Sus scrofa: one gene and its partners. The protein of the gene in region 1 interacts with the protein of each later gene in a pairwise test. Links are inferred from orthologs where the notes say so. Each region holds a gene or a part of one and is shown on either strand. Other genes may lie near its edges. The genes, in order: CEP70, SUV39H2, NRIP1, BRMS1, FAM133A, GPATCH4 and ZCCHC10.

What was found.
Region 2: the proteins of CEP70 (region 1) and SUV39H2 interact in a two-hybrid assay, tested with the Homo sapiens proteins (2 studies listed by BioGRID and IntAct). The link is inferred for Sus scrofa from reciprocal best matches to the Homo sapiens genes CEP70 and SUV39H2.
Region 3: the proteins of CEP70 (region 1) and NRIP1 interact in binary tests that used the Homo sapiens proteins (3 or more experiments, as listed by UniProt). The link is inferred for Sus scrofa from reciprocal best matches to the Homo sapiens genes CEP70 and NRIP1.
Region 4: the proteins of CEP70 (region 1) and BRMS1 interact in binary tests that used the Homo sapiens proteins (3 or more experiments, as listed by UniProt). The two-hybrid records come from large-scale screens. The link is inferred for Sus scrofa from reciprocal best matches to the Homo sapiens genes CEP70 and BRMS1.
Region 5: the proteins of CEP70 (region 1) and FAM133A interact in binary tests that used the Homo sapiens proteins (3 or more experiments, as listed by UniProt). The two-hybrid records come from large-scale screens. The link is inferred for Sus scrofa from reciprocal best matches to the Homo sapiens genes CEP70 and FAM133A.
Region 6: the proteins of CEP70 (region 1) and GPATCH4 interact in binary tests that used the Homo sapiens proteins (3 or more experiments, as listed by UniProt). The two-hybrid records come from large-scale screens. The link is inferred for Sus scrofa from reciprocal best matches to the Homo sapiens genes CEP70 and GPATCH4.
Region 7: the proteins of CEP70 (region 1) and ZCCHC10 interact in binary tests that used the Homo sapiens proteins (3 or more experiments, as listed by UniProt). The two-hybrid records come from large-scale screens. The link is inferred for Sus scrofa from reciprocal best matches to the Homo sapiens genes CEP70 and ZCCHC10.

What each region holds. Positions count from the first base shown.
Region 1 is NC_010455.5:79,310,441-79,313,940, forward strand, and holds part of CEP70 (centrosomal protein of 70 kDa), read right to left. Parts: intron 1,084-3,500; coding exon 937-1,083; intron 766-936; coding exon 597-765; intron 436-596; coding exon 321-435; intron 1-320.
Region 2 is NC_010452.4:46,897,094-46,901,329, forward strand, and holds the start of SUV39H2 (histone-lysine N-methyltransferase SUV39H2), read right to left. Parts: upstream 2,801-4,236; 5' UTR 2,796-2,800; coding exon of another isoform or gene 2,765-2,795; intron 2,557-2,764; exon of another isoform or gene 2,378-2,556; intron 1-2,377. UniProt on the Homo sapiens protein: Histone methyltransferase that specifically trimethylates 'Lys-9' of histone H3 using monomethylated H3 'Lys-9' as substrate.
Region 3 is NC_010455.5:179,825,729-179,829,226, reverse strand, and holds part of NRIP1 (nuclear receptor-interacting protein 1), read left to right. Parts: coding exon 1-1,820; 3' UTR 1,821-3,498. UniProt on the Homo sapiens protein: Modulates transcriptional activation by steroid receptors such as NR3C1, NR3C2 and ESR1. Also modulates transcriptional repression by nuclear hormone receptors.
Region 4 is NC_010444.4:6,044,734-6,048,876, forward strand, and holds the start of BRMS1 (breast cancer metastasis-suppressor 1), read left to right. Parts: upstream 1-1,343; 5' UTR 1,344-1,494; intron 1,495-4,143. UniProt on the Homo sapiens protein: Transcriptional repressor. Down-regulates transcription activation by NF-kappa-B by promoting the deacetylation of RELA at 'Lys-310'. Promotes HDAC1 binding to promoter regions.
Region 5 is NC_010461.5:76,148,349-76,152,151, reverse strand, and holds the start of FAM133A (protein FAM133A), read right to left. Parts: upstream 2,304-3,803; intron 2,220-2,303; exon of another isoform or gene 2,196-2,219; intron 2,190-2,195; exon of another isoform or gene 2,099-2,189; intron 2,079-2,098; exon of another isoform or gene 1,948-2,078; intron 1,914-1,947; exon of another isoform or gene 1,721-1,913; intron 1,314-1,720; 5' UTR 1,244-1,313; intron 1-1,243. Other genes in the region: NAP1L3 (nucleosome assembly protein 1-like 3), read left to right, coding at 2,659-3,803.
Region 6 is NC_010446.5:93,484,931-93,489,164, reverse strand, and holds the start of GPATCH4 (G patch domain-containing protein 4), read right to left. Parts: upstream 2,801-4,234; 5' UTR 2,726-2,800; intron 810-2,725; 5' UTR 750-809; coding exon 671-749; intron 260-670; coding exon 186-259; intron 72-185; coding exon 1-71.
Region 7 is NC_010444.4:135,326,036-135,329,218, reverse strand, and holds the end of ZCCHC10 (zinc finger CCHC domain-containing protein 10), read right to left. Parts: intron 2,682-3,183; coding exon 2,417-2,681; 3' UTR 501-2,416; downstream 1-500.

The DNA of each region.
Region 1 (3,500 bases):
TCATATATTCTGTGCTCATGAAGTTGCTAACAAGGTTTGAATTTCTCCATATATATATATAAAATTTCCCTTGGGAACAAGCTTATAGCAATAATGCTGGAGTCCTGACCCACCCAATGTAAACTTACAGGCCCTAGAATCTATTTTTATCTTGAAAACACCTGACATTCCCCCCATCACAAAGGTCTTGAGATTATTTTAGATTGTCAAGTTACTTAAAAAATGCTGCTCCAAAAGGAAAGGTAAATAATTTATGAAGTTTTTAATTTCACCACTCCAAATATTCTGGATATTTTGCAACCTTTTTTTTAAATAAATACCTTTGGAGGTCTTCAGGTCCCAATACCTGCATAACCTTTTCAGTCACATCTTCATTAATCAGCCTACACAATTTTCCAACTGTGCTCACCAGTACACACAATGAGGATGAACTATCTGCAAAAGAGAAATAAAAGGATAGAATATTTTTAAAAAGAATTTTTAAAATCATTAAATCAAATATTTTATGCTTCAAATAGCCTCAATTTTTTAACCTACTTTTTCTTGATTTATTAATAATAATTCTTAGGGGGCCAAGAATGACAAAAGGTCATCACCTAGTTCTAAGAGTTCTTGGAGGTTTCTCACAGCATTGTTCATTTCTCCAAGCCTAGTATAAACTTCATTCATTCTTGGATACACTCCAGTTAAAGAAGGCACATCAAATAATTTTTGGAAGTGAGAAACAATTGCTTGCAAAATTTGAAAGTCTGGCATATTACTGTCCTGCCCAAAAGAGAAGAAAAAAAAGAAAGATAGCTTACATCTTTAAATTATTCCAAATCTTTAATAAAAACTTTAAAAAGAGAAACAGAGGTCTAATAGAGTATCTTTCTCATTATTATCAGTTTCCAAGATAACAGTACATTAAAATGTGAACATTTATATAAGTTTTACCTTTTCTTTATTTTCAAGTTCTTCTAACATGGTATCTACCATAAACAACAGATCTTCAACTTTGATACCTTCATTTTCATCCTGCTTCTTTAAATTATGCCAAGGCATCAGTTCTGCTGATAGTATTTTCAAGGACTTATACAAATCCTTCATAAAAAAAAAAGATATGCTATTATTGATTTTTAAAGTTTCCATAATAACACTAATGAAATATAATTATCCAGGCAGGTTTTATATATATAAACCATCATCAGTTGTTGTTGTTTTTTAAGTACCATTACCAGGTTTGTCTTGTTTTGTTTTGTTTTGTTTAGATGGCTGCACCTGTGGCATAGAGACGTTCCTGAGCCAAGGACTGAATCCAAGCCATAGCTGCAGCCTACATGGCAGCTCTGGCAGCACCAGCTCCTCTGACCCACTGCACCAGGCCAGGGATTGAACTCACATTTCTGCACCGACCTGAGCTGCTGCAGTCAAATTCTCAACCCATTACACCACAGCAGGAACTCCACCATTACCAGTTTAGAATCCAGATGCTTAAAGCAATTACATGTTATTTATTAGTAGCAGATATTTAATTATTCTGAATTATTGACAAAAAATAAGCTTATGCTTTCTATTCTGTGCTCGATATTTATTTATTTATTTTTCCCTTTTTTGGATGCACCCATGGCCTATGGATGCTCCCAGGCCAGGGATCAAATCCAAGCCACATTTCAGCCTGCACTACAGCTGTGGCAATGATGTATCCTTAACCCACTGCTCTAAGCTGGAGATTGAACCGGCAATGCCACAGAGACAGGCTGGATCATTAACCCACTGCACCACAGTGGGAATACCCATGTCCTTGATTTTTTTTAAATAACAGATTAATTGAGATGTAATTCACATACCATAAAATTCATCCTCTTTAAGGGTTCAATTCAGCAGTTTTTACTTATTTACAGAGATGTGCAACCATCACCAGTAACTAATTCTGGAACATTTCCATCACTCCAAAAAAAAAAAGAGAAAAAACCCTGTATCCATGAGCAGCTATTCTCTTCTGTTCCCAGCCCCTGGGTAACGACTAATCTACTTCTGTTTCTATGGATTTACCTATTCTGAGGATTTTACTTAAAAAAAAAAAAATAGAATCATACAGTAAGTGGCCTTTTGTGACTGGCTTCTTTCACTTAGGATAATATTTTCAAGATCCATCCATGTATCTCCAGGAAAGTTTTTAATTCAAGAGGAGGCCTAAAATAATTCTACTTAATCTTCATGACAGCCTACTTAGTTTTCTTGGCCTAGCCATTTTGTCCTATTTAAAACTGCACAAGCAAGGCTCCTAAAAGTGTGGAAGTCTAAGAATAGACAATCAATAAATATTTATAGAGCATCTACTATGCACATGGTACACTGTTTGGTCCTTTAGAACAATTTTGTCCAAAAGAAATGTATGTCACAGTAATATTGTCTAGTAGCCACATTTTAAAAAGTAAAAAGAGGAGTTCCCTTGTGGCTTGGTGGGTTAAGGATCTAGTGTTGTCACTGCTATGGCTCTGGTTACAGCTGTGGACCAGGTTTGATACCTGGCCACAACCTGAGAAGCTATGGAAGTCTGGGAATGTTTGTATGCCACAGGAGCAGCCAAAAAAATAAGTAACAAGAAACAGGTGACATTAATTTTAATATATTTGATTCAATATATCAAAATATTTTTACTTAAATAAGCAGAAATTAAATGCTGCTGCCTTTATCAATTAACCTATCCATGAACTACTTAACAAAAACTGGAAAAAAAAAACCTAGTTATACAATCAAGAATACAGAATATCTCTGTAAAGTGAAGAAATGTTAATCTTCCATGGATAGACAGTATACGTAATAGTAGATATCTGCTCTAGAGAACATATAGAGGTGGAGATAAGCTCAGTTTTGAGAGAAGGAAAATAATTTAAAATATGAAGAGAGAGAAAACATTCTCAAATAAAATGAAATAAAGGATAAGATATCATATGTGAAGAGGACTAAGAGCCAGGAGAATCTGTAGTACAGGGATACCAAAGAGAGGGAGATGGAGGGAGAACTGGGAAAGGCCTAGAAATACAAAGTGGGGAGTTCCCATCTTGGTGCAGTGGTTAACGAACCCAACTAGGAACCATGAGGTTGCGGGTTCAATACCTGGCCTTGCTCAGTGGGTTAAGGATCTGGCGTTGCCCTGAGCTGTGGTGTAGGTCACAGACGCAGCTCAGATCCTGCGTTGCTGTGGCTCTGGTGTAGGCCGGCAGCTACAGCTCCAATTAGACCCCTAGCCTGAGAACCTCCATATGCCGTGGGAGCGGTCCCAGAAAAGGCAAAAAGACAAAAAAAAAAAAAAAAAAAAGAAAGAAATACAAAGTGGATCCACTACAGATTTTCAACATGGCAATAGGCCTAAAAAATGTCTTGTTTGGTAGAACTTTATAGGAGGCAAAGATGAATAAGTAGCAAGATTCAAGTTTGAGATAAACTAAGCCTTTTTAATAAGCAAACAAAAAATTAAGGCTAGTCCTATTAATGAAGCCCATAGACTTCAAGAG
Region 2 (4,236 bases), on another chromosome or scaffold:
ATCATTTACATGTCTTTAAGAAAAAGTTAACCATTAAAGAACTATTTTGGTAAATCGGTCTTCTTGGATTTTCTCATGGGTCTCTACCCTAACATGTTTAGTTGATGTCAATTAGTTTCTACTAGGCCACCTGAACAAAATGTTTCATGTCTGTAAGCTTTCATAAAATTACATGCATTATATGTGGAATCTAATTAAAAAATGACACAAAAGAACTTAATTTATAAAACAGAAACAAACTCACAGATTTCAAAACCAATCTTAAGGTTACTATAGGTGAAACCATTGGGGGGAAGGGAAGAATTGGGAGGGTGGGAGTAACATACACACACTACTGTAGAAAACAGATGATTAATGAGAATCTACTGTATAGCACAGGAAAATCTACTCAATGGTTTGTAATAACCTTAATGGGAAAAAAGAATGGCTCTATTTATGACTGATTCACTTGCTGTACACCTGAAACTAACACAACATTGTAAGTCAACTAAGCACCAATAAATTTTTTTTAAATTACATATAAATGCAAAGGTAGAGATATTTTTTACTTTTCCATTGTATTCTACAGAGAAGTGCTGTTTTAATAAAAATGTAGATCTCAAGGACATACTAATCATCACTATAAATACATCTTAAATATATTTTAAAATTATCGTCTATTGTTAAAAGTAACGTTCCCCCTTTCTCCTAGCTGAACAATAAGAAATAAAACCTAATTGAAATATAATTCTTTAGTTACTCATACATCATATGGCCTACTTTCCCCACTTTGGAAGGCTGCATGAAGTTTTAACTCCAGTTTTGCCCAGGCTGCAATATATTATTATCAAGGTAAATAAGCCCAAGAATTATAATAAAATAATGGACAGTATATTGAGTTTTCTAATATTCAATTCCTGTATTGTTTTTAAAGCCGAGAATGACAATACAGAGTATCAATTTAAATAATCCATACACCAAGCTTGAAGAAAAGCAGACATACTCATAATCAAGAGTATGCTAGAAACGAATGGAAGCTAGAAACTAACTGTGCTGAGGAAGATTTTACCCTCAAATTCCTGTAAATAGCATGCTACCCACTGCACCTAAAATGTTAACACAAATTGATGTCATAAACTTGGTTTTATGGCTATGAGACTATGAGAAGCACTAGGGAGGATCAGGGGGTTTTGCCCCAGATTCCCTGAGGCTGGCTTTAGAGAAGTTTCTCTGTTTCTAGGTTTCAGATTCACTGCGGGGGGGGGGGGGGGAAGAAAGGAGTGAGGGTTGGAGTAAACTGGGATTACCAAACAAAATCCATCAGTAAACGCAAGCTTTACTTGGTAGCTCTCCAAGGTAGTTGTGATAACCTTTTGTTTTGAAGTAATTTCCAGGGAAGAGAGAACACAGCTGTTCTTACTACGTCCTCACCCTCCCCAACTCACACAGGCACCTCACCGTCAGGAACCGTGAAGTAGGGTTCGTAATTCCAGACCAAGAAAGTGAAAGGAATTGTTCTCTTCAAAATTTAGGGCTAAGAGTGTGCTTGTTTTGGAGTGTTGGCTTGGACGTAGGGGAATTTGGCAGAACAGAAACGACCCTTTAAATCCTTTCACTGAAAAAGCTTCAGGAAGTTTTGCGTCAAGATAACCTCCTTATGCTGATGGCATGCAAAGGACCTTCCTCTGGATTATCTACCCAAGGTATGTTTGTCTGCTGTTCCTACCATTGTTATCTAGTCGGAGTACTATGCAGATTCAAGACACAAGCCTCGACAGAAATGCTATGTTTGAGAACGACTGGAACCTAAAAAACCTGCAAACTCCTGGTAACAATTCGGATCGCCTCTAATAAGATAGGGAAAGAACTCCTTTATAAGATTAAACGTTTCGCGACCACCCCCAAAACTTGAGTTCACACTAACCCCTAGTGGCAGACACGCTGGGGGGCAGTGAGTCCACGATCTATGCCGAGAAGCGCAGTGCTGGAAACACCTTTCAGGTTCCAGAAGGCATTGAAAGTTCCAGTCTTTCAGCGCGCGCACAAATACACGTTCAGCACCGAGCTCCTTGGCGTCCACCTCATTAATTCCCACGCAAGCTCCCGCCGGGGAGAACTCTTCCCCATGAGCCGGAGGCCACAACCTCCGAGACCCACTTCCTGGGATGTTCCCAACTGGGAGCGGAAGCCCCCCAGTAAGTCCAAAATGGGGTGTACCCTCACTTCTTTCCTTTCTCAGCCTCCACACCTCCGCCCCGACTACTCCTCTCCTCGGATACTGAGGTCACACCTACACCACCGGAGGCCTCCCGCTCCCCAGTTCAAAAACCGGCCCGGACCGCGAACCGTCCCGCTCAAAGCAGCACAAAGGAGTCGAGCCCCCCGTGTGCCCACGGACCTCGAGCCGCGCAGGGATCCGCCGGAGCCGTTCGAACGCCTCCGCACCGCGGCCGGGCCGGGGCCCATCTCGGGCCCGAACGGCAGCGGGACCCAGACCGCCGAGTCCGCGAGCCGGCAGCGGGGCGTGCGGGCCTGGCCTCGCGGGGGCCGGGCGCGGGAGGAGACTGCGGGCCGCGGGCGGGCCGAGCCGCGAGGAGGGTCAGGGGCCCGGGGCAGGGAGGGGCCCGCGGCGCGCGTGTAGGGGCCGCCGCGTCAGCCGCGCGGCAGGAGGCTTCCTGTCCCGTCGCGCTCCGGCCCGCCCGCGCGTCCCGGCCCCGCTTCCCCGGCCTCGGGAGTTTGCCTGGAGGACGGGGGACAGTGCGGGGCGCCGCTCTCCAGCCCTCACCTCCTCGCGCCTCGGCCCCGGCCGCCGCCATCTTGAGGAGCTTTCATTCAAACTGGCGCGGTCGGACGGGATAGCTCAGCTGGCCGACGCCCCGCCCCCGCCCGGCCCGCGCGGGACTCGGGGGCCGGGGCGGGGGGCTAGAACCCGCGAGGCGTCCTGACGTCAGCCGAGGCCGACTTGTCTGGGACAGCCAGCGCGCCTGCGCCCCACGTTGTCTCCCCGTGTGCGGAGGGGCGGGGCAAACTGGCCGGAGAGCAGCCCGTGGCCGGAATACCGGAGTGTAGGGCTGGGTCAGCGGCCACCTGCCCTGATCTGCCTAGTTTAGCGCCTAATTCAAGGCACTTACCACAGGCTTTCCTACAGTTGTTAGTTCTTTTCCATGGTGCTACTGATACACACCGTGCAAAATTTCAAACGCAGAGCGGAGCTACAAAGTGCAGAGTACGTTTCCTTCCCGTACCTGTTCCTTAGCCACCTGAGCCCTACTAGCCACTGTTACGTTTCCTTCCAGGCTACTCCTCCAGATCACAGTTTCTCAAAATTGGCTGCACGTTGGGATTCCTTGGAGGTTTGGGGTTTTTTTGGTTCCATTCGCAGAAATTTAATAGGCAAAAGGTGTACCCGGAACATTGGAGTTTTTAGAGGTCCCCAGGTGATTCTAAATGTGGAATTTGAAACCTCTGGTCTAGAACAGTGCTTCTCACACTCGAATGGGTACAGGAATCATCTGAACATCCTGGTGTTTTTGTTTGTTTTGCCTTTTTTTAGGGCCACACCTGGGGCATATGGAAGTTCCCAGGCTAGGGCTCAAGTCGGAGCTCCAGCTACAGCACATTTCGCAGCAACAGGGATCCTTTACTCACTGAGCAGGCCAGGGATTGAACCACATCCTCATGAATACTGGTTGGGTTAGTAACCCGCTGAGCCGTAATGGGAATTCCCTGGGCATCTCGTTAAAATGCAGATTCGAATCAGGTATGTCTGGGTTGGAACCTGAGGTTCCGCGTTTATGACGAGCCCCCAGGCTACGCCCCATGCCTGTGGGTAGGCTGTAAGATGCCAAGTCCTACAGGTCCTTTGCTAGGACCTAACTGGTCTCCACTCCCACCCCGCCCCCGTCCATTCTACACACTGCGTCCATGGTAATTGTACTGCACGATCTGATGCGGAAATCTGAGACTAGTAAATTGCGAAAGTTCCGCAGAAAGCTGTTTAATGTCTACCAACGATTTTTAAAAGAAATTTAAGTAAAACACAAAATTAGTTCAAAGCAGCCTTTATGTTTGAAATGTTGGAAATAAACGCAGAACATTAAAGGAATTAATTTGTTTGATTATGTTATTAAATACTATCTAGTCAATAAAACATGTTTATGAGGACTTTGCTATCATGGTGAAGTGTTTAATATATCAAGCAAAAGAAAGAGCTATAAAATACAGTTTCAACTGCGTAAGAAAATGTGTAGGAAGATA
Region 3 (3,498 bases), about 100 Mb from region 1:
CTCCACCCCTACTTGCATCGGCCAAAGCCGAGTCTCCCATCAACCTTTCCCAGCATTCTTTGGTCATTAGATGGAATTCCCCACCGTATGCCTGTGGCCCTCCGTCTGAAAAGCCAACAAATGCCACCTCCAACCGCTTGATGGACCTTACAAAGAGCAAAGACTTGCAAGGAGAGAAACCAGTCCAAAACGAAGGTGCACAAAACTCTGCCACGTTCAGTGCCAGCAAGCTGTTAAAAAATTTAGCGCAGTGTGGCATGCAGTCTTCCATGTCAGGGGAAGAGCAGAGACCCAGTAAACAGCTGCTAAGCGTCAACACGGATAAACCTACAGGTGTGATGGAGAGACTCGGTAGCCCTCTGCTCGCAAATAAAACAAACCCAGCTGAAGAAAATAAAGCATTCGGCAGCCACTCAGCCGGCCCTGAGCCCGGACTTTCTGGTTCCGAAATAGAAAATCTGCTTGAAAGGCGCACTGTCCTCCAGTTGCTGCTGGGAAACTCCAACAAAGGGAAGATGGAGAAGAAAGAGAAGATTCCCTTAAGGGAGGGAAGTACTCAGGAACATACAGACCGAGCTTTAAGTGAACAAATATTGATGGTGAAAATAAAATCTGAGCCTTGCGACGACTTCCACGCGCACACCCCGGATGTGCACTCGAGCCCCGATGCTCAGGGCGCCCCATTCTTAGGGATGGCTCCTCCCGTGCAGAGAGGCGCAGCTGCCTTACCAGCTCCCGAGGACTTGAAATCGGAGCCCGCTTCACCTCAGGATTTTTCTTTCTCAAAGAACGGTCTGCTAAGTCGCTTGCTGAGACAAAATCAAGAGAGCTACCCGGCTGATGACCTGGACGGCAGTCACAGAAACAGTGAACTGACACTTTTGGAATCAAAGAATCTTTGCATGGTCCCTAAGAAAAGGAAGCTTTATACTGAGCCGTTAGAAAATCCATTTAAAAAGATGAAAAATAACATAGTCGATGCTGCAGGCAGTCACAGTGCTCCGGAGGTGCTGTATGGGTCCTTGCTTAACCAGCAAGAGCTGAAGCTTAGCAGAAATGAGCTTGACTTGAAATACCCTGGCAGTCATAGTTCACCCAGCGAAAGTGAACACAGGAGTTGGGCCAGAGAGAGCAAAAGCTTCAACGTTTTGAAACAGCTGCTTCTCTCAGAAAACTGTGTGAGAGATTTGTCCCAGCATCGGAGTAACTCTGTCGGTGACAGTAAAAAGAAAGGATGCAAAAACAGTGTGACCAACAGCAAGCCTGAATTCAGCATTTCTTCTTTAAATGGACTGATGTACAGTGCCGCTCAGCCCAGCAGTTGCATGGACAGCAGGACATTTCCATACCCAGGAGGAGTCAAAACTCCCCTGAGTCCTCCTTTCCCTGAGCACTTGGGCTGCACAGGGTCCAGACCAGAATCTGGGCTTGTGAACGGGTGTTCCATGCCCAGTGAGAAGAGACCCATTAAGTGGGTTATCACAGACGCGGAAAAGAATGAGTATGAAAAAGACTCTCCAAGACTGACCAAAACTAACCCAATACTGTATTACATGCTCCAGAAAGGAGGCAATTCTGTTACCAGTCGAGAAACACAAGACAAGGACGTTTGGAGGGAGCCTTCCTCTGCTGAAAACATCTCACAGGTTACAATCAAAGAAGAGTTACTCCCTGCTGCAGAAACTAAAGCTTCTTTCTTTAATTTAAGAAGCCCTTATAATAGCCATATGGGAAATAATGCCTCTCGCCCACACAGCGCAAATGGAGAAGTTTATGGACTTCTGGGAAACATGCTAACAATAAAAAAGGAATCAGAATAAAATGTACCTGCCGTCCATCTTTGGATCTTTTTAAAAACTAAATGAGTTTGAACTTGAGATCTGTATAAATAAGCGCATGATTTGAGAAAAGCATGGTATAATTGAAACTTTCTCATTTTGAAAAGTCTTGGTTCCTGGTGATGTTTAAATATGCATACTACTTTTTGCTTTACGTTAGATGTCATGAGGAAGCTGCTGAACTAGCCAGTGGTTGTTTAACACTTTGTATGCATCAGACAACAACTGTGAGTAGCCTATGAATGATATCCTTTTTTTAATCACAGATAACAGGCATACATTAAAATGTAAATCTTCATCCACAGTGGATTAATGCATTGCTGCCTTTATTAGGGTATTTTATTTTGCTTTTCAGAAGTCAGCCTACACAACACATTTTTTTTTAAGGCCAATTTATTAAATAATAACTCTTTAAAGATAATTGTTGAACCTAGTTCAATTAAAAAACCTAGTTCGGATTTATTTCTCAATTCAGTTCAAACATAAATTAGGAAAAATATGCTTACATTTTTCACTTTTGCTAAAGAAAAAATTATTTTTAACTCTTGGAAGGGGTTTTATGATTCCCTAATGTGTCTGCTCCACCCCAGTCCTTTTCAATACACTATATTTCTTTAAACCTTGTACTACTTAGTAAAAAATTGATTACAATTGATGGAAGTTTGATAGATCTTAAAAAAAGGCAGATTTCCATTTTTGTATTTTAACTACTTTACTAAATTAATATTCCTCCTTTTGCAGAATTAGGAGAGTTAGCATTTATCTTCAGGTGGTTTCCTGAATAGTAGAAATAAGTTGTTTTTAACAGAAGCAAAATGGCTTTTCTTTGGACAGTTTTCACCATCTCTTATAAAAGCTACTTCTCACCATTTCTGTGGTACCTGTGAGTCTTGTGACCAGGGTTTCTTAATAAAGCTGGACTCAGACTACCTGCGTTAGAATCATCTGGAGCACTAGTTTTAAAATGCAGATTCCTAGGCAGCATCTCAGATCTACACAGAACAAGAATCTCTGCTAAGTGGACCTGGGAATCTTCCTTCTGCATCTTAACACACTCCCTAGGTGTTTCTTCTGCACTCTGAAATTTGAAAACCATTGCCTGACTTTTCTCAGAACACAGGATTGTAAACAAACTATTTGATGCCTATATTTTCCCCAGTATAGTCACACATCAACTCAAAATTTGCAATATTGTACTTCGTATATTACTGTTATGTCTTTGGAAATCGGGTTCAGAATACTTTTTATGACAAAAAAAAAAATTGGGTGAAGGGGACAACTTTCATACCTGGCTCAACATCTCAGGAAAATCTGTGATTATTTATGTGTTCTAATGAGTAACATCTACTTAATTAGCCTTAGGGATGGACTAACAGGGCCACTTACCAAACTCAGGTGATTCCAGGATGGTTTGGAAACTCCTCCCGAATACATCCTTAACTTCTATTAAAATCCTTGTCCTCAGAACAGTGCTGACAAAGATGAAAACATTTATTTCAAACCCAAGAAAGACACTAAACTCAACTAAACAAACAAATACAGAGGGCACATATACATGACAGAATTATACACAGTCACTCCATCGGATCTGTGATTTTGAAATAGTGATTAAAAATAACCATTGGTTTTTCTTGGAAAAACTTAATATGCTATTGAGCCA
Region 4 (4,143 bases), on another chromosome or scaffold:
GGGCAGGAGGGATGGTGAAATCAGGGAGCTGTGGGTGGCCCTGGATGGAAAGGAGCCAGTGAGGCAGGAGGGATCATAGTTTAGGAGGTGGCTGGATGGCTGAAAGATCCAGGATGCCTCCAGAGGAATGGGCATGCTGGAGTGAGCAGTGATGTCCGTCTCTGGCCTGGGAACCTCATCAAACTTTGCTGACCTATTTCTCCCTCCACAGGCTTGTGAGTTGCACGTGGCAGGATTCGATTTTGAGGTGCTGAACGAAGGTTTCCTGGTTCATAAAGGCTTCAAAGAAGCTTTGAAATTCCACCCCCAAAAGGAGGCCGAAAATCAGCACAATAAGATCCTTTACCGTCAGTTCAAGCAGGAGTTGAAGGCCAAGTACCCCGACTCCCCACGTCACTGCTGAGCCCTTCCTTCCCCTAGTCTGAGAAGTCTCAGCCTCCTCCCTCCTTAGGCCGCCCCTCAGGCCTGACTGGGGTAAGAAACGTCACTCCACTTTACAGTGGTAGCTGTGGTGTTTGAACACTGGACTTGAATATGGGGTGCTGGGATCAAGTCCTAGCTTAACCACTAACTAGCTGTGTGGCCTTGAGCAAATCCCGTTCTCTCTCTGAGCCTCAGTTACCCCGTCTGTAAAAGGGAGGTGAGAATACCTACCTCACAGAACTGCTGGGAGGCTCAGATGAGATGCTATATGTGAAAACATTCTGTAAGCTTCGTACAAATGTGAAGTATTATTAATATTATTACAGTATTATTATTGTTGTTATTATTATTGTTATTATTATTAACAATCTTGGGTGGGTGAGCAGTAGGAGAGCAAAAAGTATGAATGGGGGCAGAGCTGAGAAGTCTGAGTAGTTAACAAAATGGGCTTTTTGGAAAGAAATCAGATGAAGGCGTTGAATTTAGTTCTTAGCTTTTGGGCAGAAGCCGAAACTTCCTGGTGTCTTAGGCCTCCGTCCCGGGGGCTCTAGAGAAGGGAAGGATCTGCAGGTTCTGTGCGTCTGAGATCTGTACCCTTGAATAGCCTGGGCTGGGTGATTTGCCTACCGACTACAATGTGTAAATAAATGAGTGTTCACACCTACAGCTGGCTCCATTACTCTCCGGAACCGGGCGGGGGTGGGGGCCGCGGGTCGCAGGTTCTCCCCTTTCGCGCCGCCGGGAGGTGACTGTGGACCCAGACGCGAGGGCTGCAAAGCTAGGAAGGCACAAGGGCCTTTCCTGCATGCTGAAAGCCTGTGTGAATGTCGGTCCGTTGCCATGGAAACCGTCCCGCGGTATCCCAGCATGCCTCGCCCCAGCTATCCAATTGTGAGCACTCCGATGGGCGCCTCCTGATGACGCATGCGGAAAGCGCGGGTAGGCCCCGCCCCCGGAGAAGAGGGACCGGTGCGGCGCTTCCGGGACCCCCACAGCGGCAGCCAGTACCGATAACCTCCGGCACCTCTTGGGGAATCTAAGACGTGAGGCTGGAAGCGCCACTACCTACGGGTGCGTAACGCCAACCCTGGCGCCTGGTTTGCCCTTTCGGACAGGCAGTCGGAGCCTGCCCAATATCCAGGGCGGTAGCGAGACTTAACCGCCCGGACGCGAGCTGGGGCCGCGGGACCGAGGAGCCAGTGACTCTCCCGCCCGCTCCGCCGCGTACGGAGATGGAGCGGGGCGCGAGGCTCTGGGTGCGCCGTGGAGGGACTGGGTCGGCTTCTTCGAGGGTGGGGAAGAATCTTCCTTCCTACGAGGCGTGCCCTTGACATGCTCGCTTTCTGAAAAGATAAATTGCATGTGCACAGCACCTTATAGTTTGCTTTTCGATCCCTTACCTCTTGCCATCTTTACAACACCCAGAGTAGTGATGGTTATCCTCATTTTGTACCCGGGCTAAAGTGGGGAGGATGTGATTTAATTTGGCTCTCTCAGTAGACCCAGAGACTGGTGGAGAGAGACCTCCCCCCAAGCCCCGCCCTCTCTGGTCCAGAAAGGTGGGACTTACCCCGAGTTGTTAAAATATATTTAACAGTGAAGAGAAATTGCAAAGTTTGGGAACTCCAGGAACTGAGGCTTGAAAAAGGGAAAGAGGAGGCTGATTTGGAGAACCGAGGTTTTCAGCTCAGGTTCAGATCATTTGTGAAATCCTTGAGGAATGCTTTGAAACGGCCCTCTAGGCCAGTCAGTTTACTCAAACTGATGTCAAGGAAAGGTGACAAAACACTTTGGGTTTGCTACCACTGTAGGGACCAGGGGCTACTAAGAAAGCCATTTCCTGCCCTGCAAAAATGTGTTTTGTTTAATTTGCATTCGCAAATCCTCCAGTGGTCTAGTGAGTCAGTACTGCGCGGGGTGGGTAAAGCGCGTGTGCAGCCCTGCCCTGGGGAGGCTCACAGACAGGCATGAGGATGGGCAACAGACGTGGAAATAAATAAGGAGGGGCATCTACGCGGATCTGAAGGACTACAAAGTACCCAGAGGAAAACATCCGGTGAAGTAGAAACCCCTTTAGTCAGAAATGATCTATTGAGACTGTTTAGTCTTCCTCTTGGGCGATCTTTTGGCAGCATTTGGCACTGTCTCATCTCCTTCATTCTGAAATTCTCTCTCTCCCCCTATACTCTGACTTTTTCCTCCTCTGTCTCTTGCTAATTTCCTTCTCCTTTCCTGGCATCTTGTCATCTGCCCCTTTGATGACCCTAGAAGTTCCATCATGAACTCCTTCTCACTCCACACATTCTGCCTTGCTGGTTGCACCCTCTCCCAAGGCCTGAAGAACTCACGATGTGATGACCAGATCTCTGCAGCCCACATTTCTCTGTGAGGCTTAGACCCATGGACCCCCAGCCCTGCCCCCTTCTCTCCTCTTGGGGTGTTTGCACCTGCTACTCACTCTACTTAGAATGCACCCTCTCTTGACCAGCTCAGCTCATCTGTCTGGCCCATCTTCCTCTGCAGGCCCTCACTGCTGCAGCAGGCTCCAGGTCCCAGTTAGATGCCTCTCCCGTAAGCCCCTGGTCTTAACTCTTCTCACCCCACAGCAACAGTCTGTTTCTTAGCCTTTCTGTCCCAGGAACTTGTAAACTCCTTGAGGTCAGAGACTGTCGCACCTGTGCCCAGCTCCTACCATAGTGTCTGCTGCTACCTAGCATGTATTAGATCTTCAGTAAATATTAAATGAGTGACTAAAAGAAGGAATGCTTAAGACTGTTCAGTTTGCTGAGAAGTCAACCTAAGATAAGCACCAAAAAATACTGGCATTAGGTACGAGGAGTTCGTCAGTTAACTCTACAGGATGGGCTTCAGCTGAGAGTGATGATACAGGAACAGAACAAGTGGGAGGTGGGCGAGTAGGAATAGCAAGTGTCCACAAGGCCTTGAAAAGTAGCCATGAGGTGGAAAACGGCGAGCAGTGGGGTGGGGTGAGGTTTTGTGTTTCTGCTTTCTCTCTCTGGTGGTAGATACCTGAGCACGTCTGACGTTCTCTGGGAGGAGCTGTCAGGAGCGAGAGTTGAAGATGCATAAGGGAGAGGGCAGCACTGAGGACATGAGATCATGAAGGAAGCAGGAGATAGGATTTGAGCCCAGTGAGAACACAAGCATCGTAGAGTGTTCTCAGGAAGAGAAGTGGAGGGCGGTGTAGGCAGAAGAATAGCACAGGAGTTCCCGTCGTGGCGCAGCAGAAAGGAATCTGACTGGGAACCATGAGGTTTCGGGTTCAATCCCTGGTCTCGCTCAGTGGGTTAAGGATCCAGCATTGCCGTGAGCTGTGGTGTAGGTCGCAGACGCAGCTTGGATCTGGCGTTGCTGTAGCTGTGGTGTAGGCCAACGTCTACAGCTCCAATTGGACCCCTGGCCTGGGAATCTCCATATGCTGCGAATATGGCTCTAAAAAGACCAAAAAAAGAAAAAAAGAAAGAAAGAATAGCGCCGTGGGCGTTAGGGCTGGTGGGGAAGTGCGTGGTATATTTGAGAACTGGCCAGCAGATGGTGGGGTGAAGGAGCTGGACCGGTGATTCAAGTCCAGTCTGTGCAGGGCCTTGGAAGCCCGGATCAGAAGTTTGGGCCCAGGAGTTCCCATTGTGGCTCAGCAGTAACAAACCTGACGAGTCTCCATGAGGATGTGGGTTCACTCCCTGGCCTCGTTCAGTGGGT
Region 5 (3,803 bases), on another chromosome or scaffold:
GCTGATTCTTGATAGTATAAAATTTAACATATATATGAAATCATTAAAGTACTATAAAAATATAAAGCATTAACAAAATATGTCCATCATTTAAAAAAATAATAATTTGTAGAACAATATTTATAGCATAATTTCATTGATTTAAATCATACCTTCCATAGTATATATTTTAATGAAAATTATAGAATGAGAGGATATGCACCCATTAAGTTTTATTCAGCATTATATCATTATCCTCTACCACACGTGCCTGGCACGTGGCAGGCACAAAAATATATTAGTTGAATGGCTAAATAAACTCATGCATTATTGTTGGGATTTTAAATTGTGATCATTTTTTCTGGAGAGAAGCTTGGCAATATGTGTCAAAGAGTAAAATGAGAATACAACTCATTCTAGCACTTCCATTTCTAGGAATTCATCAGATGACTAGTTTTTACAAGTTCATATAGCAGGTATCCAGGGTTAACTTTTTTAACAACAGGAAAATGTACGTTAGTGGAAAGATGGTGCAGGGAGTAACTGCCCTACAAGAGGAATCTGGTTAAGTAAATTAAGGCAAATATTTCCATGAAATATGCATCTATTTTAAAATAAAATATTGATCGGTTTCTATGAAAGTATAGCCACAATTAACTGATAAATGCACAGGTTACAAAACATAAGTTCACAAGATGAAACAGTATATATAAATAGGCAGGCATGTACATGTACAAAGAAAATTCCAGAAGGAAATGCATCAAAATGCTAACAATAGTTATCATTTGATTAAAATTGTGTATTTCTATTATTATTTTAATTTTCTATATTGTATTTTCCCTTACAATGCTTACATACTTTGACAATCAGGAATAAACAATAAAACTAAATTCATTTACAAAATAGAAAATAAAAGTGTTTCTTAATTTATAAATACATGACTAAATGACTAAGCACAAATCCTATAATAAAGAAGCAACATAAAGATTAATCTTACTTTAATATTTTTCCTCATTTGAAATGAATAATTCATCAGATGTTATGTTTTAATTTGCTACTTGCTTTCTATGAGCAGGTTTAGAAAGTGAATGTCATTAATTAGGTTATTTTCCTCATTAATATTCTAAATCACCTCTGTGGATTTTTCTGCTTACATAGAACTATCTTCCAATTAAGTCTTTAAAAGACTCTGTCGTGAATTTTTATTCAAATATATATAGGTAATTCTTGTCATTCATAAAAATGGGCTAAATATGTTCCTTACCTTTTAATGAAAAGTAAACACGGGTCTTTTTGGTTGTACCAAGGGAGTTGTTCTGTGGCAGAAAAGAATCCTGCAAATAAAAATAACAGCTGTTTTTAAACTTCATTTTGCAAGTTTATTCACATATTACTGGATTTGTAAATCATACTTTAGTATGGCTAGCATTTTACAATTTTAGAAGGAAACTGGTGGCAGATGACATTGTAAAGTATACCCTGACAGAGGATGCAGTTTCATCAGCACAGACTCCCCCTCCCATCCTGCTATTCCTGGAATGGAAAAGTGCTGCATGAAAGTATAGAACAAAGCGTCTGCTTTTAAAAAATACTACCTAACATTTGAATGCCCTCTTATTTTATCTACAAGGTTGTTACAAGCATTGAGAAGGACTACGTGGCAAATCAGCAGCAAGGTTGGGGTTTATTACACGCCAAATTAAAAGGAGAAATATAGTAAAAAATGGTGTAACTGACTCACGGCAACATGGGTTCGCAAACCTTGTAGATGGATATAAACCAGGCTTGCCAAACACCACAGACAGCACTTATTAAAACTGTTACGTGGAAGGCAATATGCCTGCTTTCTAGCCCCTCCCCGCTTTGCCAATAAACGACTCCCTCTTTTCCCCCCAGTGTAAAAATACATGCTCATAGAACATCTAGATAGAAGAAAGAGAATTAAAAAATCATCCACAAGCACACTACCCAAAGATGTCATTTGGAGTATTTTCATCCAATTTTTAAAAAACAGATTTTTGTCACGAGGCCCCTGACAAACCAAACGGGAATTAATGAAGGGCAGATGGGAGAAGGATACTCCTCTTCCCTTGTTAGAAACCATGACTAGTATTTTTACCTCATAGCTAAGCTTTTTTTTTTTTTTGAATTATAAAACTATAAGGATAAAATTTTGAGGGGGAAAAACGTCTTCCTGGGGTATGAGCCTTAGCTACCTAGGAGCGTCTGGGAAGGTGGGCGGAGTCTGGAGGGGGCGGTGCTTTTGGCTACTCATTGGCCTGAGGGTTTGTCGATCAAGCATGCCTAGCAAATGAGGTGAGAGCTAAAGGGCACACTGGGAACGAAATTAACGGGAGGTCTGACGGCTAGGGGAGGGGGGGGTTCAATATCTTAGTAGTGAAGAGATCTCGGGGTCTCGCACTGCGCCATTCGGCTGAGGCACGCCTCGGTCCGCAGCAGCTGCAGCCGGGAGAGCCCTTACCTCTGCCGCTCTTGCTCAGGCCTCCAGTGTCGCTGCCGCCTCCGCGGCTTCAGCCCAGCCCCACCCCGCCCTGCACTCCTGCTGCCTTCGCCGCTGCCCCGACCTCCACCGCTGCCACCCAAGCATCCGTGAGTCATTTTCGGCCCATCTCTGTGCGCGCGGTAGTCACCACGCTAAGCGGTTTGCAGGCTTGCAGAATGGCAGAAGCGGATCCTAACAGGGTCTCGGGAGCTGCGGCCCAGGGGGTGGATGAAGAGATGGTGGCTAGCTCGTCTAGCGATTCTGGGGAAGAATCTGACAGCAGCAGCAGCAGCAGCAGCTCTAGCAGCAGCACTAGTTGCAGCAGCAGCAGTAGCAGCAGCAGCAGCAATAGCCGCAGCCGTTTCTATAGAAAGAAGAGGGTACCTGGGCCTTCCAGAAGGGCGCGGCGGGCTCCGTCGGGTAGAAGTTTCGTGGATCAGCTGCCTCGGGCAGTTAGAAATCGTGTGCAGGCGCTCAGAAATATTCAAGATGAATGTGACAAGGTAGACGCCCTGTTCTTAAAGGCAATTCACGAGCTCGAAAGAAAATATGCCGAACTCAATAGGCCTCTGTATGATCGGCGATTCCAAATCATCAATGCAGAATATGAGCCCACGGAGGAAGAATGTGAATGGAATTCGGAGGATGAGGTGTTTAGCAGTGATGAGGAAGTGCAGGAAGAGGGCCCTAGTGAAATGCCTGCCTTAGAGGGTGAGGAAGAAGAGGACCCAAAACCAAAACCTGAGGTCAAGGCTGAAGAAAATGCAGCCCCTAAAGAAAATCCCGAGGCAAAGGCTGAAGAAAGAGCAGAGTCTAAAGATGCTCTGGAGGCCAAGCCTGAAGTAAAGGAAGATCCAAAAGAAGCCCCCCAAGCAAAGGCAGAAGACAGAGAGCAGCCTAAAGCAACAGAGGCGACTAAGGCCAGGGTTGCTGTAAAAGAAGCTCCTAAAAGAATTCCTGAGGTCAGGCCTAAAGAAAGGGCTCTGAAAAGAGCTCGCAAAGGAAAGCCTAAAAGAGAAGATCCTAAAGGCATTCCCGACTATTGGCTGACTGTCTTAAAGAATGTTGACAAGCTGGGACCCATGATTCAGAAGTATGATGAGCCCATTCTGAAGTTCCTGTCAGATGTTAGCCTGAAGTTCTCAAAACCTGGCCGGCCTATAAGTTACACATTTGAGTTTTGCTTCCTACCCAATCCATACTTCAGAAATGAGGTGCTGACCAAGACATATATAATAAAGTCAAAGCCAGATCACAATGATCCCTTCTTCTCCTGGGGCTGGGAAATCCAAGATTGCAAAGGCTGTAAGATAGATTGGAG
Region 6 (4,234 bases), on another chromosome or scaffold:
CTGGCTGCTGTCTTGTTGAAGAGCTCATTCCACCAGTGGTTTGTGAACTCCTTGGCAGGGTCGTGTCCCACCTGCCGGAGGACGAAGTATGAATGAACCCAGGACGTGTTATTCCCGTCCCTCCCCTGGCCTCAAGACCCCCCTCTCCCATCTGCACTGACCTCCCCCAGCCAGCCCAGGCTTACCCCATGAGTGTCCTGCTTCAGTGTCACCCTGAGGGCCTGGGTGATACCGTTCTCCTTCCGGCCCAGGCCTTTGCCTACGGAAGACAGTGAATGATTTGAACACCCCAAGCCCTCACCCCAGCACATGGCGGATCCTTGCCATCCACACACCTGGCACTAGGAAAGCCCCCGCGCTCTCAGAAGCCCTCCCAGTTTCATTCTTTCCAGCACCTCTCCATGCAGCCCTCCTGTCTTCCAGCCTGAACTATCCTTCCTTCATAATTCTTTCAGGACAGAGGTCATGTTTCTTCCTCCCCCTCCCAGTCCTCCCACTTCTTTCTCCCATTCTTTCCTTTTCTGGAAAAGCCAGCAACTTTCTTCACAAATTTCCCTTTAAACTAACTTTTCCTCCTGCAGTTGAAAGGACTACATAGGGTTAACCCAGAAGGATCCCTCTTCCCCAGGCAGAGGCTTGGGGGTACGTGGAAGGGGCCTGTGGGGATCACCTTGAGTCCATCCATGCTTTAGCAGCTGCTCCTCAGCAAACTTCATCCCACGACTCTTGACCTCTGGGGTGACACTCATGGTGAGAAAAGAGTCACTGTCCTCAGCCCCTCACCAGAGAAGAGGAGTTCACAGTCATCCCTTTAAGAGGAAAGGAAAAAGTGCTCAAATCCTGCAAAAAATCCATCCTGACTGCTCTTATAAGAATTCTTTCTTGCAGAGTTTCCATTGCCATGCAGCAGAAACAAATCCGACTAGGGACCATGAGGTTGCAGGTTTGATCCCTGGCCTCGCTCAGTGGGTTAAGGATCTGGCATTGCCATGAGCTGTGGTGTATGGGTGCAGACACAGCTCGGATGCTGCGTTGCTGTGGCTGTGGTGTAGGCCGGCAATTGTAGCTCCGATTAGACCGCTAACCTGGGAACCTCCACATGCCGTGGGTGCAGCCCTGAAAAAAAAAAATTCTTCCTGGAAGCAGAAACAGAGGAAGGAGGCCTGGTCCTTGAGTGCTCCCTGTCTGACCACAGAGAGGTTAATATCATCATGTTGAAAATCAAGGAGGATTAGTATTAATAATAACACCTAAATTTATGGAGATCTCACTACATGCCAGGCTGTGCTAGGGCTTTTTTTTTTTTTTGTCTTTTTAGGTCCGCACTCTTGGCAGAAGACTCTGGCCTGACACAGTGGATTAAGGATCTGGCTTGCCACAGCTGTGACATAGGTTGCAGTTGCAGCTCAGATTCTGTTCCTGGCCCAGGGAACTTCCATATGCCACAGCTGTGGCTGAAAAAGGAAAACAGAAACAAGAAACAAAAACTAAAGACTATCACTGCTGACCTGAGTCACTTAAATGAAGTTGTGTTAAGATCATTTATTACAAGCATTGCAGACCATTTTTAAAGCCAATTAATGGCACTACTGGAGTAATCCTCTAGCCTCCCCAAATGACAACTCCAAAGGCCAAAACTTTCATTTGTGTTTAAGAAGGTCTAGGAAGTATCCTAGTTTGGGGGGGTGGGGGGAAATCAGACACATCGTTAAGTCACTCCTCCCAAATATTCCGTATTAGGCCTAAGAATGATGACCAGTCTGGTTAGATAGGAAGAGGAGCAAATTTAGGATGACTCACATGTCTGTTCATATTTCTACTGTGAAGGATGGTTACCTGAAAACCTAAATGAGATCTTGAGAGTCCCAACAGAAAAACACTGAGTGAAGAAATGGCCCTATCTTGCTTCTTGATACTGCAAGAGAATTCAAGTTCAAACACTGAGGTCTTTAAGGCCACCTCGAGGCTCTGCCTCTTCTCAGAAGTTATTTCCATCAGGCCGCAGATTCAACAACAACTAACATTTCAGCATTCATTCAATGCCAGCTTCACACACATTACCTCATTTCAACAACCCTATGAGGAGGCATTTTTACCTTCATTTCCAAATGAGGAAAAGGCATTGAGACGTTTCATTACTTGTCCAAATGAAACAGCTGGTAAGTAGCAGATTTAAGATCTCAGGCATCCCAGAACTGACATTCTTAATCACTAGGGTCCTCAGTCTGACAGCCATTAGTGCTTTACACTGTAGGACTTTACCACAGCTTGTCCCTCTTCACAGTAATTCGAAACTATATGCCCTGGTTTTACTCCCCAACCCCGGTGCTTCTAATGCAGCTCCGAGAACAGAGAATGCGTTCCGTCGTTATTCGCTGAACTGAAGGACACAGGTGGAAACTGCCTTAACAGAATGGATAACTGTGGACAAAAGCAACTAGATCCCAGGCTCTGCGCCGCAGTCTTTGTGAAGGCAGCGACTGCACGTTCAGGAACTGTTTTCTCTCCAGTTAACCTGAGTTTTCTGGAGAAGGGGCCCAGGTCCACAATTTTTAGAGCAGATCCAAACAGCCAGCTACCGTTTCCCTAGACCTCCTTCCTCTTGAGATCTAAATTCTAGCCCTCCTACCGCAGTTTCGCTTTGGTGAAACTACTTTCCTGCTCTCACATTTGCTTCTGAGCCCGGGCTCCGACAGCCACCGTCTGGGGGACTACAGCTCCTTACCGTCATTTGCAAGGTCCTCTCCGCAAAAACACATGCCAGCGACATCTTGCGCGCCGCCATCTTCCCGGAAGTGCGTTTCAGTCCTTCTAGGCGGTGGAAACCATAGAGATGCTCGCGGGAAGCAAAGTCGCCGTGGTCCTCCGGAAAGTACTTTTGCGTGGCCCACGTACTTGTATGGTTGTCATAGAAACTCAGCCCCAGAGCGCGCCCAGTTCTAGAGATTTGGGAGGTGTCCTGCTTCTTCCCTGTAGGCCCTGAGCGGCCACGGGACTTCACCCCTAACCGGCTCACTTGGGATCCTGATCCTTCCGTCTGACACCGTCTCGTCCCAGACACAAATAGGAGGAAGGAAAACTTTAGGGGGAAGCACCGAGAGTGGCCTGAGAGGTTCGTAGAGGCAGAGGAGGTAGTACCTCTGAGGTGGTTTGGGGGGATGAATACTCAGCCTGTGGGAAAACAGTTATTTATAAAATCCTAGAGAAGAGAAGTTTCAGTAGGTTTATCACGTTTTGACTCACCACCGTATGCCAGGACCTGCCCCTTTGGTACCAGTGATTCAAAGATGCATAAGACTCGAGCCCTAACTTCGGGGAGCACCTAGTATAGCCCAAGCAAAGTTGGGACCACGAGTGGGACTGAAAAGAGAGGCAGGATCCTGGAATCCATACCAGGCTGAGGTGTTTGGACTTGCCTTGTCAAGTATGAGGATCCCTTGATCAGAGGAGGGAAAGAACCTACTGCCAGGAAATCAACAAGAGAGGCTGCACACGCTCTCATTACCACAGACTGTTCCAAGGCTTAACTAAGCCACCCAAGAATAAAATCTGAAAAGAAGAATCCCTCGTTTTCATTAATTCACAGTAACTTAGTGCTCCTGCCCCACCTCCACCCCCCCCAGAACTTCAAAGGCTATTTCCTAGTAAAACCTTGTAATAATTGCTCAGTCTTTCATACTCCCTCATCCCCATAAGATTTTTTTCCATAAAAACTAATTTTACTTTTTTTTTTCTTTGGTCCTTTTTTTTTTTTTGGTTTTTTTTTTGTTTTTTTAGGGCTGCACCCAGGGCATATGGAGGTTCCAAGGCTAGAGGTCTAATCAGAGCTGTAGCTGCCAGCCCATGCCCCAGCCACAGCAACACAGGATTCGAGCAGTATCTGCAGCCTACACCACAGCTCAAGGCAACGCCAGATCCTTAACCCACTGAGCAAGGCCAGGGATCTAAGCACAACCTCATGGTTCCTAGTCAGATTCATTTCCGCTGTTCCACAACGGGAACTCCTAATTTTACTTTCAAAATATGCTACTTGTGGGAGTTTCTCTGTTGTGATGCAGAACAAACTAACCCGACTAGTATCCATGAGGACATGGGTTGGATCCCTGGTTATGGACCTGGCGTTGCCATGAGCTGTGGTGTAGGTTGCAGACACAGCTTGGATCCTGCCTTGCTATGGCTGTGCTGTAGGCTGGCAGCTATAGCTCTGATGTGAACCCTAGCCTGGGAGCCACCA
Region 7 (3,183 bases), on another chromosome or scaffold:
GACCGGAAACTTCCAATGCTGTGGGTGGGGCCAAAAAAAAAAAAAAAAGAATAAAACCGTGACTATAAAGTACACCTTCTCTGTACTTTTTTCCATTTCCAGAGCTCACTTATAGCCTAATGCCTTATTCTGATTCCAACACGATTTTACTATATTGTACAGTCACACTAACGTTTGTGGAATGAAAACCTATAGTCTGATGACTCCTTTTAATATAGTTGTGGTCGAGAAATAATACCTTTACTACTTTTGCCAGAGACTCACATTCCAGAGTTCTGCTTTTAGGCAAGACGGGGAGACTCCCTTTAGAAGGTACCCTCCACTTCGCCCTTGATTCTGCTTTTCTGAGTAAACTGTGTGCCTCAAGTTCCTGTCCTCTGAACTTTTTCAAGGAAACCTTTAAACAGGTGTAGTAGCAAAAATAATTATAATTGAAATGCCCTTACCATCTAAATGGATAAGAAATGGCATGAAGTAGCAAGGGGATAACAGAAGCTTAAGCTTATCAGCACAAACTGAATTTTATTTAATTACAAGTGATATAACCTATGTATACAATTTTTCCCTTCCAAGTTTTTTAACTGCTAAAATTTCTCTTACAGAAATTACAAACACTGTAAATTGCACTTCGCTAGTAAATTATCAAATTTGCCTGTCAACAGACACAATCTGTATGGAGCCTTGAAATGATGTTTTGAGAGTTTATTGACAATCACTGAAAGCAGATAAAACAGGAAATGACAGATCCTTAAACTCATAACACACATAAACATTTAAATAGAAGTCCATCTTCTTCAAAAGTAATCTTTTACTACTTTTTCATAGAAATATAAAAGATATCTGTAATTTTAAAAACCTCTATTTCCTGCTGTATAGCACAGGGAACTATAATCACTTGTGGTGGAGCATGGTGGAAGATAATGTAAAAAAAAAAAAAGATGTGTATAAATGTATAACTGGGTCACTCTGCTGTACAGCAGAAATTGACAGAACATTATAAATCTACTATACTAAAAAAATGTATTTAACCCAAATCAAAATTTTTCTACAAGTGATACCACTTTCCAAAAAGTTCAAAAGACCTCGCAAAATAATCTGATGTTAAACCAAATAATTTCACCAGGACAGAGTATTTCACTTTTAAGAAATATTGTGCAGTATTTCTTTTTAAACTTTCACACTAGATTTCAACTGTTTATATACCATGTAACTGCAACAGATTAATCCAAATCATTCACATTTATGCAGTAGACTGTCATCTATTACCAGTTACCACAAAAACTGTCATACCACAATTGCAAAATGGTAAAAGGCAATCTCTATGAAAACTTAAAGAAATTGTAGTAAAAGGCAACCAATATTACTCTAATATTCTGTAAAAATTACCTCTCTTCTTCCTACCTCTTTCCCCTTCTGAATGGTATTTTGTAGCACATTAACACACAAAGGGATTTATATCACTTTTACTTAAGTTAGCTTTTCTTCGGAGCTGTAGCTTCCAGTTTATGCCACAGCCACAGCAACTCAGGATCCAAGGGCTGCATTTGTGACCTATACCACAGCTCTTGGCAACAGTGGATCCTTAACCCACTCATTGAGACCAGGGATCAATCCCACATCCTCATGGACACTAGTTGGGTTCATAACCCACGAAGCCAGGATGGGAACTCAACTTAGTTTTTCAAATGACTGTTTTCTTTTTTGATACACTGGATTTATCAACAGAAAACCAAGATTAGATCCCTATATAGTTTAAGAATTTTTGTTCCCTTTTAAAAGTTCCTCTAGAATAATTTTCCTCGGAAAAGGGTAACTCTAAGAACCAGAAAAAAATGAATGATATGATACAGTAACTAGAAATTTGTACCATCCAAAAGGTATAAATTTATTAATAGGTTCCTTGAACTTTCAATTTAGGACAAGAAGTCAGAGTAACTTTCTGAACATAAACATAAAAATAGACCACATTTATTAACAGTAGGAAAACTCCTAAGCTTATAGTAACAATGTATTAAATCTTACATAATAACATACAGCCAAAAGCTTTAAAAATTCACTGTCAGATATTTTGATGCATTATCCAAAAAACATGGCTGGTACATAGCACTAACATATCATAAAGTATGGCATTTATTTCACAGGGAGAAAACATAAATTTATTGGATTTCAGCTGTGATTAATTTTAGAGATATATTTTAAAGATAAAAAAGAAAAACAAGATTTACCCTTAAAAAAGTCTTTATAATATAATCAATTACTAATACTCTTTATGTTCTTACAATGAAAAACATTTAGAAACTTTTGGACTCCAGAAATTTTGACCAGTTAATCTATTTGGCCTTAACACATTCTAAATTCCCTTCTGAGAATCACATTAAAGTTTTCAGTCCATCAGTCCAGTACGGTTGGAGCAATTCTATTTCTTTTTCTTCTTCCGTGATGGTTCATCTTCAGAGCTGCTATCTGTGCTGGTGCTGCTGCTACTGGAAGAGCTGGAATCTGAGTCTGAATCAGAGGATGAGGAGGAGCTGGTGGAGGATGAAGATGAAGAACTGGAGGAGCTTTCATCAGTGTCACTGTCCTCTGAGGAGGAAGAGGTAGACGACTCTTCACTCTCTGATGAAGAATCACTGGCTGAACTGTCACTGCTGTTGCTACTGGAACTGGTCACACTCTTAGACCTATTAGACAATTATATGCACGAGAAGCTGACATTTAATAGAATGTCGAAAAGCAATTTCCCATGAATAGTGTGTGTGTGTGTGTCTGTGTGTGTGTCTGTGTGTCTGTGTGTGTAGCTTTGTTAGCATGCTCTCCCTATTCTGAGGCTTTGGGGATTGCCTAACTAACCCCATCGTGCCCACCCTCTTCCCTCAACCACAAGGTCTTTTACTTCAGCAATTTAACTCTCTTGGATGGAGTTCAAGATAAGTGTATCTACTATATTTCGCTCCAGAGTGAATGATGTTAGAACAAAGTTGTAGATTAACAACTGGGTTTATATAAACCTCCTGTGGAGTAGTAAATGTTTCATAACCTTAACTACTTTATCCCAGATTTAGCTGGTCAATTATCTCTTACTACTCTAATAACATTTCTTAATCTAACCCAAGAGAAATTATTTACTATTTCCAGGTATAAGAACTCTAGAAAGTTGAAGAAAAAGGAGAAATGACAGTAAAC